2 linked regions of the Elephas maximus indicus genome follow. The protein of the gene in region 2 purifies or fractionates together with the protein of the main gene of each other region. This does not show direct contact. Links are inferred from orthologs where the notes say so. Each region holds a gene or a part of one and is shown on either strand. Other genes may lie near its edges.

Region 1 (8,053 bases), on a different chromosome or scaffold from region 2:
TAACTATGCAAAGGTATTTGACTGTGTGGATCATAACGAATTATGGATAACATTGCATAATAATGGGAATTCCAGAACACTTAACTGTGCTCATGTGGAAACTGTATACAGACAAAGAGGCTGCCACCAGAACAGAACAAAGAAATACTGCATGGTCTAAAATCAAGAAAGGTGTGTGTCAGGGTTGTATCCTTTCACCATACTTATTTAATCTGTATGCCGAGCAAAAAATGTGAGAAACTGGACTATAGGTAGAATGTGGCATCAGGATTGGAGGAAGGCTCATTAACAACCTGCAATATGCAGGCATTCTCAAATATCAAAGAATGGGTGAAATGAATAAAAAAAAAAAAAGTAAAAATAAAACAAACAAAAACTACTCAACAATAAAACCTGCCAGTCAGGGACTCTATCAAAATAAATAAATCAGGAATGGACGTAGCATGGTGAAAAACATGGTGGTGAGCAGTGAAATATATTTAAATATAAATATTAAAAAAGAAAGGTGTTTTTGGTTTCAGAACACAACACAAATGTTTATAAATGCCAACAAATGAATATGTACATATGTAATTGTTAGTAACTTTGAGAAATTAAAAAAATAAACATAAGGAACACACGTCAGAACATGTGAATATAAAAATATTTGTCACTTCATTTTTCATAAAAAAGAGCCAATGAATACTCTTTAAGCAGGAATAGGTTTTTTAAAGGACAATGCTTAGCCAAGCAATGGTCTCATGATGTTTTTTTTTCTTAACCATCAAAAGATCTTAAGGATAATAATATTTCATACGGTGAAGAAACATTTTTTTAATGTTTTCAGCTCCTTTGTTGTCATTTCAGTTTCTTTCTCCTTTATTAAATTCAAGTAAAATAAGTTCTAAAATAATCTGTTAAATTGAAAAAACTTATGTATACCATGATTCTTTCCTTTCCATCCATCCATCCACCCATCCACCCATCCATCCATCCACCCATCCATCCATCCATCCATCCATCCATCCATCCATCCATCCATCCATCCATCCATCCATCCATCCATCCATCCATCCATCCATCCATCCATCCATCCATCCATCCATCCATCCATCCATCCATCCATCCATCCATCCATCCATCCATCCATCCATCCATCCATCCATCTGTGTATTTGCAAAAAAGACCTATCTGAAATAACATTCATTAAAGTCACTACTCGTCGTTTTGTTATGGTAAGAATTAGGGAAATTTCTTAACATACTTTTGTAGATTGCTTGAGAGATTTTATAGAGGGCATAAATCATTTAAATAAAAGTGATAAAATTACTACACTTTAAAAAAAAAAAAAAAGGGAGCCTCCTGGAGCACAACGGGGGGAAAAGAAGAGTGTGCTAGTAGAGTCTTCCTTTTTGTTATAAACTCTCTGAATGGTTTAAGTTTCTTAAGTATGAGTATTCAACATGTTTATATGAAATTTTTCATTACAAAATTAAAAGAAAAGAGAGTGTACAAAGAAAAATTTAGGAAGTCAATATTGCTGTTGTTGTTGTTAGGTGCAGTAGAGTCGGTTCTGACTCACAGCGACCCCATGCACAACATAACGAAACACTGCCCAGTCCTGACAATCCTCACACCGGTTGCTGCATTTGAACCCACTGTTGCAGCCACCGTGTCAGTCCGTCTCATCGAGGGTCCTCCTCTTTTTCACTGACCCTCTACTTTACCAAGCATGATGTCCTTCTCCTGGTACTAGTCCCTCCTGATAACATGTCCACAGTACGTGAGACAAAATCTCACCATTCTCACTTCTAAGGAGCATTCTTCTTGTTCTTCTTCCAAGACAGATTTGTTCATTCTTCCGGCAGTCCACTGGAATATTCATATTCTTCACCATAATTCAAGTCATCAATTCTCCTTTGGTCTTCTTTATTCATTGTTCCGTTTTCGCATGCACATGAGGCGACTGAAAATACTTTGGCTTGGGTCAGGCGCATCTTAGTCCTTAAAGTGACAACTTCGCTTTTTAATACTTGAAAGAGGTCTTTTGCGGCAGATTTGCCCAATGCAATGCATCTTTTGATTTCTTGACTTTTGCTTCCATGGGCACTGATTGTGGATTCAAGTAAAATGAAATCCTTGAGAGCTTCAATCTTTTCTCCGTTTATCACAGTATTGCTTATTGGTCCAGTTGTGAGGATTTTTGTTCGTGTTGAGGTGTAATGAGGTGGTCTTTGATCTTCATCAGTAAGTGCTTCAAATCCATTTCACTTTCAGCAAGCAAGGTTGTATCATCTGCATAACGCCAGTTGTTAATAAGGCTTCCTCCAATCCTGATGCTCCATTCTTCCACAAATAGTGCAGCTTCTCGGATTATTTGCTCAGCATACAGATTAAATAAGCATGGTAAAAGGATACAACCCTGACACACACCCTTCCTGATTTTAAACCATGCAGTATTCCCTTGTTCTGTTCCAGTGACTGTTCTTGGTCTATGCACAGGTTCCTCTTGAGCACAGTTCAATGTTCTGGAATTCCCATCCTTTGCAATGTTATCCATAATTCATTATGATTCACATAGTCAAATACCTTTGCATAGTCAATAAAATACAGGTAAACATCTTTCTGGTATTACCTGCTTTCAGCCAAGATCCATCTGATATCAGCAATGATATCCCTAGTTTCACATCCTCTTCTCAATCTGGCTTGAATTTCTGGTAGTCCCCTGCTGCTGTACTGCTACAACTGTTCTTGAGCTATCTTCAGCAAAATTTTACCTGCATATGATATTAATGATATTGTTCTATAATTTCCACATTCCGTTGGACCACCTCTCCTCAGAATGGGCACAGATATGGATCTCTTCCAGTTGGTTGGCCAGGTAGCTGTCTAACAAATTTCTTGGCGTAGATAAGTGAGGACTTCCAGCATTACATCCATTTGTTGAAATATTTCAGTTGGTGTTCTGTCAATTCCTGGAGCCTTGCTTTTTTTGCCAATACCCTTAGTGCAGCTTGGACTTCTTCCTTCAGTACCATCAGTTCTTGGTCATATGCTGCCTCCAGAAATAAATGTCAACCAATTCTTTTTGGTACAGTTACTCTGCATATTCCTTCCATCTTCTTTTGATACTTCCTATGTCATTCAATTTTTTGGCCATAGAATCCTTCAATAAGCAAATATTACATTCAGAATATTATTCAAATAATAGAATATACTTCAAACATAAATTTTGTTCCTTAGAGGGTAACCGATTTTCAAAAAACACCAATTTATTATCTGTAATAGTACAGTTCCAGTGACACTGGTTTTTATACACACTAGTTCATACAGAGGTTGGCTATGACGAGAATTTCTATAAAATGCTACATGAAGTAAGATACATGTGGAGATACTCAAACAGCTTAATTTATAAAGTACGATTTTTAAAAATAAAGCAGAACGTGCCAATCAGCATTCCACATTCACTTCTTTTAGCATCCATGAACCTCCCATGTGTCAGGCATGTTCTAGGTGCTGGGTTCCCAGCAGAAAATAAGAAGGACTGGGGCCCATGCCACAGCTGGGGCCGTGGGAATAGCTGGCCCTGGGAAACAATAACAGCATTACCACGCCACAACAATTGAAAATGATTCCAGTGATAAAATACATCTCCCCTCCAGGGCCAACGGCTCCCACCATCCATGGAAACATTCTCCTGGGGAAAGCATATATTAAGCAAATAAACAAGGGCCGGGGTTCATATGGCTGTACGAAGAACAATGTTGTAAAGAAACGACGACTTACGTATTTTAAAAAACAAGTTAGTGTTAAATATGGGCAATAGGTTAACAGAATCTATTCCCTTCTGCAAAAGAACCTGACTTCTGGTTAGCTCTCCAGCCTTGTTCCCCAGGTAACCTGATAAGGCAGCCTGTCAATTATATAGTTAAGCAGCATTGCTTATGGTAATAGTAACACTGCCCATTCCTGTGCCATCCCGCACCATTTCCATGATCAGTTGTGGATCAGGCCCTTGTCACCACAGAGTTTTCACTGGCTGATTTTTGGAAGCAGATTGCCATGCCTTTCTTTCCAGTCTGGCAGAACTATAAATACTTAATAAAAAGCCAGAGCTTTGAGCCTGTTTCTTGTAAGGACTCTAGAAACTATGTCTACAGTGTTGTTTAGAGAGAAATGGCTCCTGGGGCAGGCTTCCATGTGGACCTTGCCTCCTTGGCCCTGAGAGGTGTGGACTGCAGCGAAGACTCCCTCTGCAGGAAGATACCTGATGCTGCCCTGCTGGGAAGCTGGGGTTCCTGTGCCCAGTATGGCCTGTGATCATCCTGTGGGTCTGAACATTATCAGCCCTGTGGACATCCTGGTGGTGTGCATTACATCGTTGCCAGCTGAAAGTAAAACCTGCCATAAAATCAGTCCCTGGTTAAGAGGAACATTTTTTTTTTTTTTTAATGGCTATGAAAAAGTATTCTTTCACAAGAAAGACACTTTTGTGATAATCAGAAGGTTCTTATTTTGAGAACTCACTGGGCTTGCTACCAAATTTAAACAGAAATGTCACGTTGATCAGACAGCTTTTAATCCCGATGGCTGTAACTTGTCTGGCCTCACAACATGCTCACTAATGTACTCCTGGCACCCAGAAGGGTCTCCAGAATGGTGGTAGGCACACAGGAACCAGCTACCACTTGCCATCAACTCCTGTGTCGACTCTACCTCATGCTAAGTCCATGTGTGTCAAAGTAGAACTGTGCTCCATAGCGTTTTCATTGGCTGATTTTTCAAAAGTAGATGGCCAGGTCTTTCTTCTGAGGTACCTCTGGGTGGACTCCCACCTCCACAACCTTTTGGTTAGCAGTCAGGTGTGTTAACCATTTGTACTACCTGGGGACTCCAGGCACATAAAATGAGCTCAATAAAAATCTGCCCATTTACAAAGGATATGAACAGGCACTTCACCAAAGAAGACATTCAGGCAGCATTTTATGTGGAAATGCTCATGATCATTAGCCATTACAGAAATGCAAATTCAAACTACAATGATATACCATCTCACCCCAACAAGGCTGGCATTAATCCAAAAAACATAAATGTTGAAGAGGTTGTGGAAGGCTGAAACACTTATACACTGCTGGTGGGAATATAAAATGGTACAACCACTTTGGAAATCGATTTGGCACTTCCTTAGAAAGCTAGATAAAGAAGTACCATATGACCCAGCAATTCTATTTCTTAGAATACATCCTAGAGAAATAAGAGCCTTCACTTAACAGATATAGGCACGCCCATGTTCATTGCAGCACTGTTTACAATAGCAAAAAGATGGAAACAACCAAGATGCCCACCAACGGATGAATGGATCAACAAATTATGGTATATTCACACAATGGAATACTATGCAATGATAAAGAACAACGATGAATCCATGAAACATCTTATAAATGGAAGAATCTGGAAGGTATTATGCTGATAGAAATTAGTCAGTTGCAAAAGGACAAATATTGTATGAGACCACTATTATAAGAACTTAAGAAAAGGTTTAAACACAGAAGAAAACATTCTTTGATGGTTACAAGGGTGGGGAGGGAGGGAGAGGAATATTCACTAATTAGATAGTAGATAAAAACTATTTTAAGTGAAGGGAAGGACAACACATAATACAGGGGAAGTCAGCAGAGCTGGATTAAACCAAAAGCTAAGAAGTTTCCTGAAAACAACCAAATACTTCGAGGGACAGAGTAGCAGGGGTGGGGGTCTGGGAACCATGGTTTCAGGAGACATCTAGGTCAGTAGGCACAACAAAGTGTATTATGAAAATGTTCTGCATCCCACTTTGGTGAGTGGCATCTGAGGTCTTAAAAACTAGCAAGTGGCCATATAAGATGCATCAACTGGTTTCAACCCACCTGCAGCAAAGGAGAATGAAGAACACCAAGGACACAATGAAAATATGGGCCCAAGAGACAGAAAGGGCCACATAAACCAGAGACTCCATCAGCCTGAGACCAGAAGAACTAGGTGGTGCCCAGCTACCACCAATGACTGACCTGACAGGGAACACAACGGAGAATCCCTGATGGACCAGGAGAAAAGTGTGTTGTAGACCTCAAATTCTAGTAAAAAGACCAGACTTAATGGTCTGACTGAGACTGGAGGGACCCCAGAGGTCATGGCCCCCGGACTCTCTGTTAGCCCAAAGCTAAAACCATTCCCGAAGCCAACTCTTCAGACAAAGATTAGACTGCACTATAAGACGCAAATTGATACTGGTGAGGAGTGTGCTTCTAAGCTCAAGTAGACTCATGAGACTGTGGGCAGTTCCTGTCCATGGGTGAGATGAGAAGGCAGAGGGGGACAGGAGCTGGTTGAATGGACATGGGAAATACAGAGTGGAGAGGAGGAGTGTGCTGTCACATTACAGTGACAGCAGCTAGGGTTACATAACAATGTGTATAAGTTTTTGTATGAGAAACTGACTTGAACTGCAAACTTTCACTTAAAGCACAATAAAAAAAAAAAGATCATGGAATATAAAGCAAGTGTGACAGAATATTAAGATCTGATAAAATTGGGTGATTGACTAAAAAAAAAAAAAAAGACCAGACTTAATGGTCTGACTGAGACTGCAGGGACCCCAGAGGGAATGGCACCTGGACTCTCTGTTACCTCAAAGCTAAAACCATTCCTGAAGCCAACTCTTCAGACAAAGAATAGACTGGACTATAAGACATAAAATGATACTGGTGAGGAGTGAGATTCTCGGCTCATGTAGACACATGAGACTATGTAGGCAGCTCCTATCTGGAGGCGAGATGAGAAAGCAGATGGGGGCAAGAGCTGGTTGAAGAGACATGGGAAATAGAGGGTAGAGAGTGTGCTGTCACGTTATAGGGAGAGCAACTAGGGTCACATAACAATGTGTGTATAAGTTTTTGTATGAGAAACTGACTTGAATTTAAACTTTCACTTAAAGCACGATTAAAAGAAAAAAGCTACCCATTTAATGAGTTAATATAAAACACAAGGCTAAGAGAGTTTCACCATATTATAAAATAGTTCATTGGATTCAAAATCATGTCTCTTACAAAGACAGTCAAATGTAATTTGATTTTAAAAATTATTTCCCTGCTTTGTAAATAAGAGAAACAAAATATATTATCTGACACAAGAATTCTAATTGACTCTTGACAATTGACTGGCACAGTGACTGCAACAATGGGCTCAAGCATAACAACCATCGTGATGATGGTGCAGGACCGGGCAGTGTTTCATTCCGTTGTACACAGGGTTGCTTTGGGTGGGAACTGATTCGATGGCACCTATCAACAACGACTGACTCTTAGTTTCTTTTTTTTTTTTTTTCTATTTAGAGTGACTTCTAGATTATTCACAAGAGGAACTGATGGTCACAACTATACCAAATGGGAAAGTACAGGCTACTATAAAATTCAATACAAGAGTGAATAGATACTAATATCTGGGAAACTCTTGTCTAAACTAATCTCAGCTCCTGATAATCACACACATCTCTGTTTTTGTTTGGTTCCCCAACGGAATGTTTCCTGCCACCCTCAGAAACAGATTGTATTTTATTTATGTAAATCAAAAATTTGTCCATAGCATGTGAAAAAGACCTGTCCAGTTTACTATAATAGGTGCTAGTATTTGCTAACTATGAGCTGCTCAGCAGACAGGACCTAATTAATAGAAGGCAGTATGGCAGCCTAGATAAGAGAGCTCCCTTTGCTTCCACAGAGACCTAAGCTCCAATCTCAGCCCTGTTGTTAACCAGTTGCCTGGCCTTGGGCAAATTACTCTCAATTTCCCCATGCATAGAAAGGGTTGTAGCTTAAACTTGATTTGTAATGATCTTCTTCTTCTTGGAGTGGGGAGGAGGCAAAAATGGTAAGATGTCGACATTTGTTAACTGTGAGTGGTGTTGGACTTCCTGTATTTTTTTTAATTTTTTTTTTTTTTTTTAATGGTTACAGTGAAGAATACATGAGGCTACTCTTGTGGTCCAGGCCTAGCGCCAGGCTCCTATTTCTTTTAACCTAACTGTACACAACCTAAG
Region 2 (8,408 bases):
CAAAGAAGAGTCTTTTTGGTAGATTGGTTCTGAGGGCTGAAGGTGAGGGAGAAGATTAAGCTGATACATAGGCCAGGACTTGTCCATTCCAACAACAGGCTATTGTAACATTTTTGGTCAACAGGGCTTGGACTGATACAATGAATAAAGGCTGTTTTTACCTAAGCTTTCCTCCTAGTAAAACAGGTGCCTCACTCTAGGTCAGCCTGATGTACAGAATGTTGAGTTTACTGAATAGGTAAAATAAGGAACCACTTGTCTCACAGAATGTGAAGCGTAAGCCCCCTTACCCAAATCACAGATATTGTTTTCTTCCTTCTTTTTCCATTCCTGCCCTCTCTCCACAAAGGAGGGTGGCAGACAAATCACTACCAGCACCTGCCACACTTCCTTTTCTCCCTGCCTTTCCCTGGTGTTTTCTGCTGTTTTTCCTCCCCTGGCTCACCCAGACTCCATCTGGGTTCTTAACCAGTACTGGCTGAGAAAACCAGGCATGGGCCTGACCAATCAGGGTCTCCTGCCACTTTGACCTGTGTGTGTCAGAAAGCTGCCGGGGTGCTGTTGCTGTAGACGCCACTAACAACCACCCCCCCAAACAAAAAAAAAAAGAAGAAGAAGGGAAGGAAAAGAAAGAATCAAAGAAAAAAGAGGGGATCAAATAGAGAGAAAATGGTTTGGGAGGGGTCAGGAAGACTGGGTGGCCTTGGGTAGGTCACATCACCTTTCTAAGGCTCAGTTTTCACATCATAAAATGGGAATGATAACAGCACCCATCTCATAGGGTTGTTGTGAGGCTGAGAATCATGGTGATGGTTCTGCATAGAGAAGTTCCAATGCCACACCTTGCCTATTTCCTCTGGGAGCATGCCTAAGCCGGCCCTGGAAGGGCAACGGTTATCAGCGATTGGGTAGCAGAGCAGAGAGGGTAAACTGTAGCTGACTTCCCAGAGCAGGAATGCACGGAAACGTGCTCCTCAGCCCAGGCTTCAGTGAGGACTTGGACCACCTCCAAGATCCATTAAGCTGCCCACGGTCTCCTAGCCTCTCCTCTCTCTGAGAAGCAGTCTAGAGTGAAGAATCAGAGGTTCTCTTCTTGAAACTTTAAACCAGAACCTTTGCCCAAAGGTGAAGGAAATATAGAACATTCTCAGACTATGCCCACTGGTGCTAACCTATTCCTGTGCCCATTACCAGTGTCCAGACTCCAAGTCAGAAGAGGCCTGAGCCCTCTTTGAATCCCTTCTCCTTTACTCTATAGGTGAGAATTGAGGCCAAACAGACTGAGTTGCTCAAGGTCATGGTTAAGTTGGCACCTGGGTGACAGAGCAGGGTCCTCTGCCCCCAGACGAATCACAAAAGATCTCTCTTCAGTGAAGGTAGGGCCCTGGGATCAGCAGCTTAGGCGACAGAAATAGACTTGGGTTTGAATCCCAGGTCTTCCACTAATTAGCGGTGTAACTTTGGGACAGTTACATGATCTCTCTAAGCATCAATTTCCTCACCTGTAAAATGGATGTAATCATAGTACAGGCACATGGAGACCATTCAATAAACATGTTGTTTTCATGCCAAAGACATAAGAAAAAAAGCCCAAGAGGAGGCAAGCCTAGCTGGGTCTCATCCCCAAGCTCCAGTATAATCTTTCTGCTTGTTCTCTTGTCTTATCATCTTACAGAGCTAACTCAGACTTAGGCAGACTGTCTTGGCTTTTCCCCATAAATCAAGACTAGATCTTCTCTTATTTAATACCTATGATGTGTGTAAGTTATGAATAACAATAAAACGAGAATTCGTATGCTCACTACTCAACGTAAAAAATAGCACACTACCACCATCTTTGAAACTCTATGTACCCCTTCACCTCAACTATGCTCCCTGGTAACCGTTCACCTGAATTTTATATTTATCATTCCTTTCCTTGGTTTTACCAAATTGGAATGTATTCCTAAATAATATATTATTTAGCTAGCTTCGCATGTCTTTAACCTCATTATAAATGGAATTGTGCTGTATCATCTTTTATATCTTGCCTGTATTGTTCAAATTGTTTTTGAAATATATCCATAGAGGTGTGAGCAACTGTAGTTCACTCATTTTTTCACTAGTTGTATGGTATTCCATTGAATGAATATACCACAATTAATTTATCCATTCTCCTATTGATGGACTACTGGGTTATTTCCAGGTTTATTTATTTGTTTGGTTTTTGCTATTATAAAAGTCTCTCAATGAACGTTGTTGCACATGACCTTGGTATATAGTTAGGAGTGGAATTGCTGTGTCACTCGATGACAGCGGGTTTAGGTATATATATAGCTTACTTTATTAGATAATGCCACATTGTTTCCAAAGTCATTGTACCTAATGTATGTAAAATATGTGTACTTTTATCAGTGTATAAAACCAAAACAAAATCCATTGTCATCAAGTCAATTCCGACTCATAGTGGCCCTATAGGACACAGTAGAACTGCCCCATAGGGTTTCCAAGACTGCAATCTTTATGGAAGCAGACTGCCACATCTTTCTCCCACGGAGTGGCTGGTGGGTTGGAACTGCCAACTTTTTGGTTAGCAGCTGAGAATTTAACCACAGTTCCAGCGGGGTTTCCCATTATCAGCAGTGTATAGGAGTTTCAAATTTTCTTTAAGGTTGGGATTATACATTTTTTCCCCATCTTTTAATTGTAAATTTCCACATCCCTGTGCCATGTACCTTGAGCCTGAGCATTTAAATGTTCTCCGTGTGCTGTGGAAACCATGTTGTGTGGTTTCATTCCCTTTATAAGTCATCAACTAAAACTTGATGTCATAAATTTCTATCCTTGCATTGACCTTTGTAGCAAGCCAGTTACAGCTACTGAGTAGGCACGGCAGGCCTGGAACATTTTGATGGTCACGCTACACACCACATGGGGCAAAATGTCCAGTCTGGAAATGCAGACTCTCATTTTTATCATGTCAGACTAAATGCAGTAAAAAGAAGAAAGACAAGTGGCTGTAAAAAGAAAAAGCAGAAGTAACCCATCCCCCTGGTCTTTTTCTCTGGGGAAATAAGTTGCCAGCCCAGGTGCTGAGCAGAGTTGTTGATTGAGAGAAAAGTCAAGGGACGGATGGAGTACAGTTTACAGTAATTTAGAAAGAATGAGCTTGTTGTTTTCACCCCATTCAGTGAAGCTTGATTTTCCTGATCTCAGATGACATTGTACATGCCTTGGTAACATCCTTGTCTACTGGATCCTTTCAGTTAGGAACCTGAAGAGTATCTTATGGCTCCTTCACAATACATTGCAAGATAATTAAGCTGCTTGTTTGAAGGAAATACATGATTGGAGGAGGAAAGCTGTTGAATTTTTCTCATGAAATATCATCTGCTCTCTTGCTAGCCTGGCCAGTTTGGTGGCCTGGCCAAGCCGAAGGGCCCTACCCTTTAAAACTTCTGAAGATTCTCCCCCTGAACATCTGGCTCAACCAGAAATTTGGAGGCAGGCATGAATGTGAATAATCAAAATTTATCTAGAGAAAAATAGAACCTCAGTTTGTTCAAAGAAGAGGCACGGGAGGAAGAAAGGCATCTACTCTTTCCACTTCTGCCACGACCTCCTCCTCCTCCTTCCCCTTCTCTTTTGTTTCCTCCTCCTCTTCCTCCAGAGCCCTGATAGCTCTGTGGTTAATAGCTATAGCTGCTAACCAAAAGATCAGCAGTTCAAATCCACAGCCATTCCTTGGAAACCCAACGGGGCAGTTCTACTCTGTCCTATAGGGTTGCTATGAGTCAGAATTGACTCAATGGCAATGGGTTTGATTATTTTTCCTCTTCCCCCTTCTAACTGATAGACCTTGAGTCTGTAACAGGAGAGGTAACTGGGAGCCCTCTATTTTGTCCATTCAGTGTATTTTTCAGACCAAGGAGAGGACCAGTCACCTTGGTAAATGTGGGAAATGTTCACTTGACCTCACATAGGTGAGCAGGGCATTATTGCCGGAAGCAAGGGAAGTGTGTCTAGGAAGAAAAGGAATGGTCCCTCTCACCGTCTTCCTTCTACACTCTAAACGATGGACAAATCAGGAGTTTTCAGCAAAGTTTATTGGTATAGTTATTGTTGTTGTTATTTAACGTACTCACAATAGGTTGAAGAAACTGTGAAGTTTTCCAGAAAAGAAGTAGACCTCTCTGGATGGGTCTGGCCACATGCAGGTAGGGTGCCTTCCTCCCAGCACCTTACCTGCTCCTCCTGTCTGTGCTCTGGAGACCCATTACTGCTCCCATGTCACCTGGGTATGGTGAGGCAAGAGGGGACAAAGACAGGGAGGAAAGTGGCACTCTACTTTTAAGGGAACTTCAGAATGGCCTGATGTCAGAATTACATCATTGGGAGACTGTTAGATTTGTTCTTGGCTAACTTTTGTACATCCAGGCTGAGCTTGAAAGCATCTAGCTACCAGCGTGGTAACTCCAGCCTCCACCAGCCCAATAAGGAGGCCACGCTTCTTATGATGGTGATCATCTCTCCTTTTCCAGATCACCTGTCTCTACCCCTAAATGATCTTGCATAGAGAATTTTCCATCCAATTTTACATAGATCTCCAGGAAACGAGAGACTCTAACTCTCTGAGGAAACTGTTACCACTGTGTCACTGCCACCTTGATATTTATTCAAATAATATTTTGGGGGGGGGAGGGGACGAGACAGAAGAGACAGCACAGAAATGCCATTTTCATATAGCAAAAAAATCCGTTGCTGTCAAGTCGATTCTGACTCATAGCAACCCTGTAGGACAGAGTAGAATTTCCCCATAGAGTTTCCAAGGAGTGGCTGGTGGATTTGAACTGCAGACCTTTTGGTCAGCAGCTGAGCTCTTAACCACTGTGTCACCAGGGTTCTCATTTATAATGGTTTTAAAAGTGGGAAAAGTATATCCATGACTTTAAGCAAATGAACAGAAAGTCTCAAAAAGACATTAGGATGGAATTGGCTATCCTGCTTTTCCTTGAGGCCAGGAAGCTGCCGTTGACAGCATATCATGATACTTGCTGAAAACAGGCACTGTATGTGGACAAGACAACAGGAAGTCGTGACCAGCCAGAAGCTTGTCCTGCCCTAATTACAAATCTGGTTATAAAAAAAAGCAGCTGGAAAGAAATCTGCATGCCCAATAGGTTTCACTATTAAAGTTTACACAACATGGAGTAATCAGCCAAGCTGGCTGGCTACCCTGATCACATGATTATGTAGAAACATGAAACTTGCTATGTGCTCGAGCAAGTTTTACTTCTCTCTAGTGCAGGAGTGTCTGCCAGCAGCCTGTGCTCTCGGAAATCAGATTCAAGTGACAAGGGACCCTTGAGACCCAACGCTTATCATGCTACTGCCTGGGAGGGCCAGGAACTGCTGATGCTACCACTGAACACTTATCTGTAGTGCTTACAATTACCGAAAAGAATGGACAAGCTTAATAAGATAACTGTCCCAGCCAGTCAGAAGTTGAGGTAAGATTTTCCCTATTCAGTACTTCTCCTATTTCTCCTTTTTCTTCTCCTTTTTTGGGGAATTTTCTTACTGTATCTCAGAAATACTGAAATCCTGGAATACTTTGCTAACTTCAAGGCAGTGGGTGGCAATTACTGTAGGGAAATAGACTGAATTTTTAAAGAAACTTGTTGGAGCAAGAAATGTGTAGCCAGCACAAACTGGCTCTTCCCAGTGACAGATTAAAGTGCAAAGCTCTGGAGAGACAACAAAAAAGAAAAGCTAAGAGGCTTAGATTTCACCAAATGTCAGCTTTCAGAGTCTGAAAGCAACAAACTTTTCTAAAGAAGTATTTGTCTAAACTGAGTCCTCAACCGTTTCATTGTGAATTACTATTTAATTTTGAGAACAAAGGTAATCATTTGTAGTCATTATAGTTTTATCATCTCTTATTTGTTTTGTGACTATATATCACAAGTATCTTTGGGCGATTAGATCTGTTTTTCCAATGTCCTCATGCCACTGTTATAATTATCTATAAGAAGCCACTTAGTAGGAATAAATAGAAGTGGCCCAAGGGGCAAGAGTTAAGAAACTCCTCTTAGCTATGGAATAAATGACTTTCTAAATTTTAATTTGGAAGGCTTTCTTTTGGCCTAATTGTAACATCATCATGGTTTTTGGAGATTAGAACTCTTACATGTTCAATGAGCATTTTGTATTCCAAGTACTAAGGGAACTTCAGTTTTCCATGAGGTGATGTGACACAAGTAGCAGATAAATTATCACAGAGAGTAAGGAGCAAGAGAATTAGAACTTTGAGACAAATTTTAAGAAAAATAATTTTTAAACTCGCAAAGGGATAGCCCTTCACAGTTAAAAGAAATATCTTAAGCCTAGTAGCAGCTTGATAAATGGTAGTTTGAAATGAACTGTTGATCTGGAATCAGTAGGCAACAGCTGCGTCAGCCATTGCAATAGCTTGTCATTGAATGTGAACCGTGTGATCAGCGCTGAGTGCCGGGCAAGATGACACCTCAGTCTTGCCCTTGCTCTCAAGTTGCTGTATTTACCTTCAGGGGTGGGAGGCAGCAGGTAAAATGATGGAAGATAGTAAGTGACTAAACGAGTATAAGAAGAGAATTGGAGTAGTTGGAGGATGTGTCATGGAGAAGAGGTTTCAAGTGGTAGGCATTAAGAGGGGGTAAGATAAACGTAGCTGGAGAGTTCAAAGAAAAGTGTTAGGTGCTGGGAACCAGGAAACAGCAAAAGCTGAGGTTTGGAACTGCCCATGAGTACAGTCCACTTGTGGGATGAGGGGGAGAGTTTTCTGGGCCAACAGAAGTGGTAGAGTAGGGTATGTGGGACCAGAATGTCCTGATAAGGTTGGACACAGGGTGGGCCAGATCATAAAGAACAGTTAGGCTCTAATGATAGGGAGGCAGAGAAGAGTTCACCAGTAGGTTTGAGGGAAGTCGGCAGCATGGATTGAAAGGGGAGGGAACCTGGAGGCAGGGATACTAGGAAGGGGGCAGGTAAGTAACCCAAGCATCTGGGGTTGTAGGCCTGGACTTGGGGCACAGCACTGAGAAGGAAAAGGAAAGACAGACCAAAGAAATTATCAAACATGGCTATCAGGGCCTCTCTTAAATCAGCAAGAAGGTCAAAAAGGACCTTTTCAGACATATTCCATAACCTAGAGCTATAGAAAACATTAGAACCTCTTTTAGGAAATCCAGATTGGAATTTAAATAAAGAAAGGCAATAGAACCTAAATTATTTTATGATTCTTCCCTTTGGAACAAAGTTCAGCTTGATTGCAGAGTAGTTGATAGGCAACATATAACCATAGATCACAGGGTAGAAAACTTAAATTATATTGTGGCTGATCATACACTACGTTCATCTGCTTGGGCAGAAGTAACTTTTTTTTTCCACTTGGTTGCTCAGTTGTCTTTACAGAATTGGCCTGTTTTGGTAAAATGGGCATTGTCAACGTGGAACTTTTCAAAGAAATAAAATTTAAACACAATGGACTTGAAACACCATCTTAAACCTTTTCTATAGTTAGGTGGGATGATGAAGAATAGGTAGATAAAATACTTGACCCTTGTGATTTGTATTCTCTGTCCTCACTGGTTAACATCAATTCAGAATGTTGTCTAACTGTGCAATTATTTGGCACTGGATGACAGAAGAAGAGCTGTGTTCATAGTTTTAGGATTATCAAAGATTAATGAGAATTTGCTCAAATTCTTAACCCCAAAAATAGAGAGATCGTGAGTGTCTTTCACGGAAGCTAGCAGGGAAGACCTTGATCCAGGGCATATATTCCCAGGGCTGAAAAGAAATAGAAGCAGAAGAGAGATCAGCAGGGGAAGGAAAGCGAACTCAACCAAGGAAAGGAGGGCAAGCAGGATTGGAAGGAACCAAGGACTCCCAAAGTGAAGGTGAGAGAGAGAAAATGGACCAGCTGGGGATGGGTACTCACCTTGAGAGTTTCCACTGGGGAAAAATTGAGACAGTTAAGGTGGCTAAGTTGTAACAGAGAAGCACGAGCACAAATTCTCGCTTTTTCCTCCTACTGAGGCACTAAAATAAAGTAGGATTCTCTGTTGGTAGGAATTCATAAACTTTCAGAATCTTTTAGTTGATTCTTAGCATGATTTTCCCTTGATTATATAACATAATGCTAGCAGAACCCAGCTGAGGCCTGAGTTCTCAATTCTTCCACACTAAATATTCCTATGATCATAAAAATGTCATACTTCTACGTAAACATTTCAAAATTTTCAAGCCTTGGATCACATTGTGTATATTCTTATGTCTTTAATAGTCTCCCAATTGACTCAATATCTATGCTTGTGTATTTTTCTTCATAACACACATAGACATGTACCCACTTATTTTTATGAATGGAAAAGTTAAAATCCCCAGGT

What was found.
Region 1: the proteins of BLNK (region 2) and SYK purify together in Homo sapiens (affinity purification with western blotting; 3 studies listed by BioGRID and IntAct, with this or other methods). This does not show direct contact. The link is inferred for Elephas maximus indicus from reciprocal best matches to the Homo sapiens genes BLNK and SYK.

What each region holds. Positions count from the first base shown.
Region 1 is NC_064827.1:118,740,999-118,749,051, forward strand, and holds the start of SYK (tyrosine-protein kinase SYK), read right to left. Parts: upstream 3,131-8,053; 5' UTR 1,837-3,130; coding exon 1,780-1,836; intron 1-1,779. UniProt on the Homo sapiens protein: Non-receptor tyrosine kinase which mediates signal transduction downstream of a variety of transmembrane receptors including classical immunoreceptors like the B-cell receptor (BCR).
Region 2 is NC_064834.1:48,037,472-48,045,879, reverse strand, and holds the start of BLNK (B-cell linker protein), read left to right. Parts: upstream 1-5,276; 5' UTR 5,277-5,442; coding exon 5,443-5,489; intron 5,490-7,749; exon of another isoform or gene 7,750-7,919; intron 7,920-8,408. UniProt on the Homo sapiens protein: Functions as a central linker protein, downstream of the B-cell receptor (BCR), bridging the SYK kinase to a multitude of signaling pathways and regulating biological outcomes of B-cell function and development.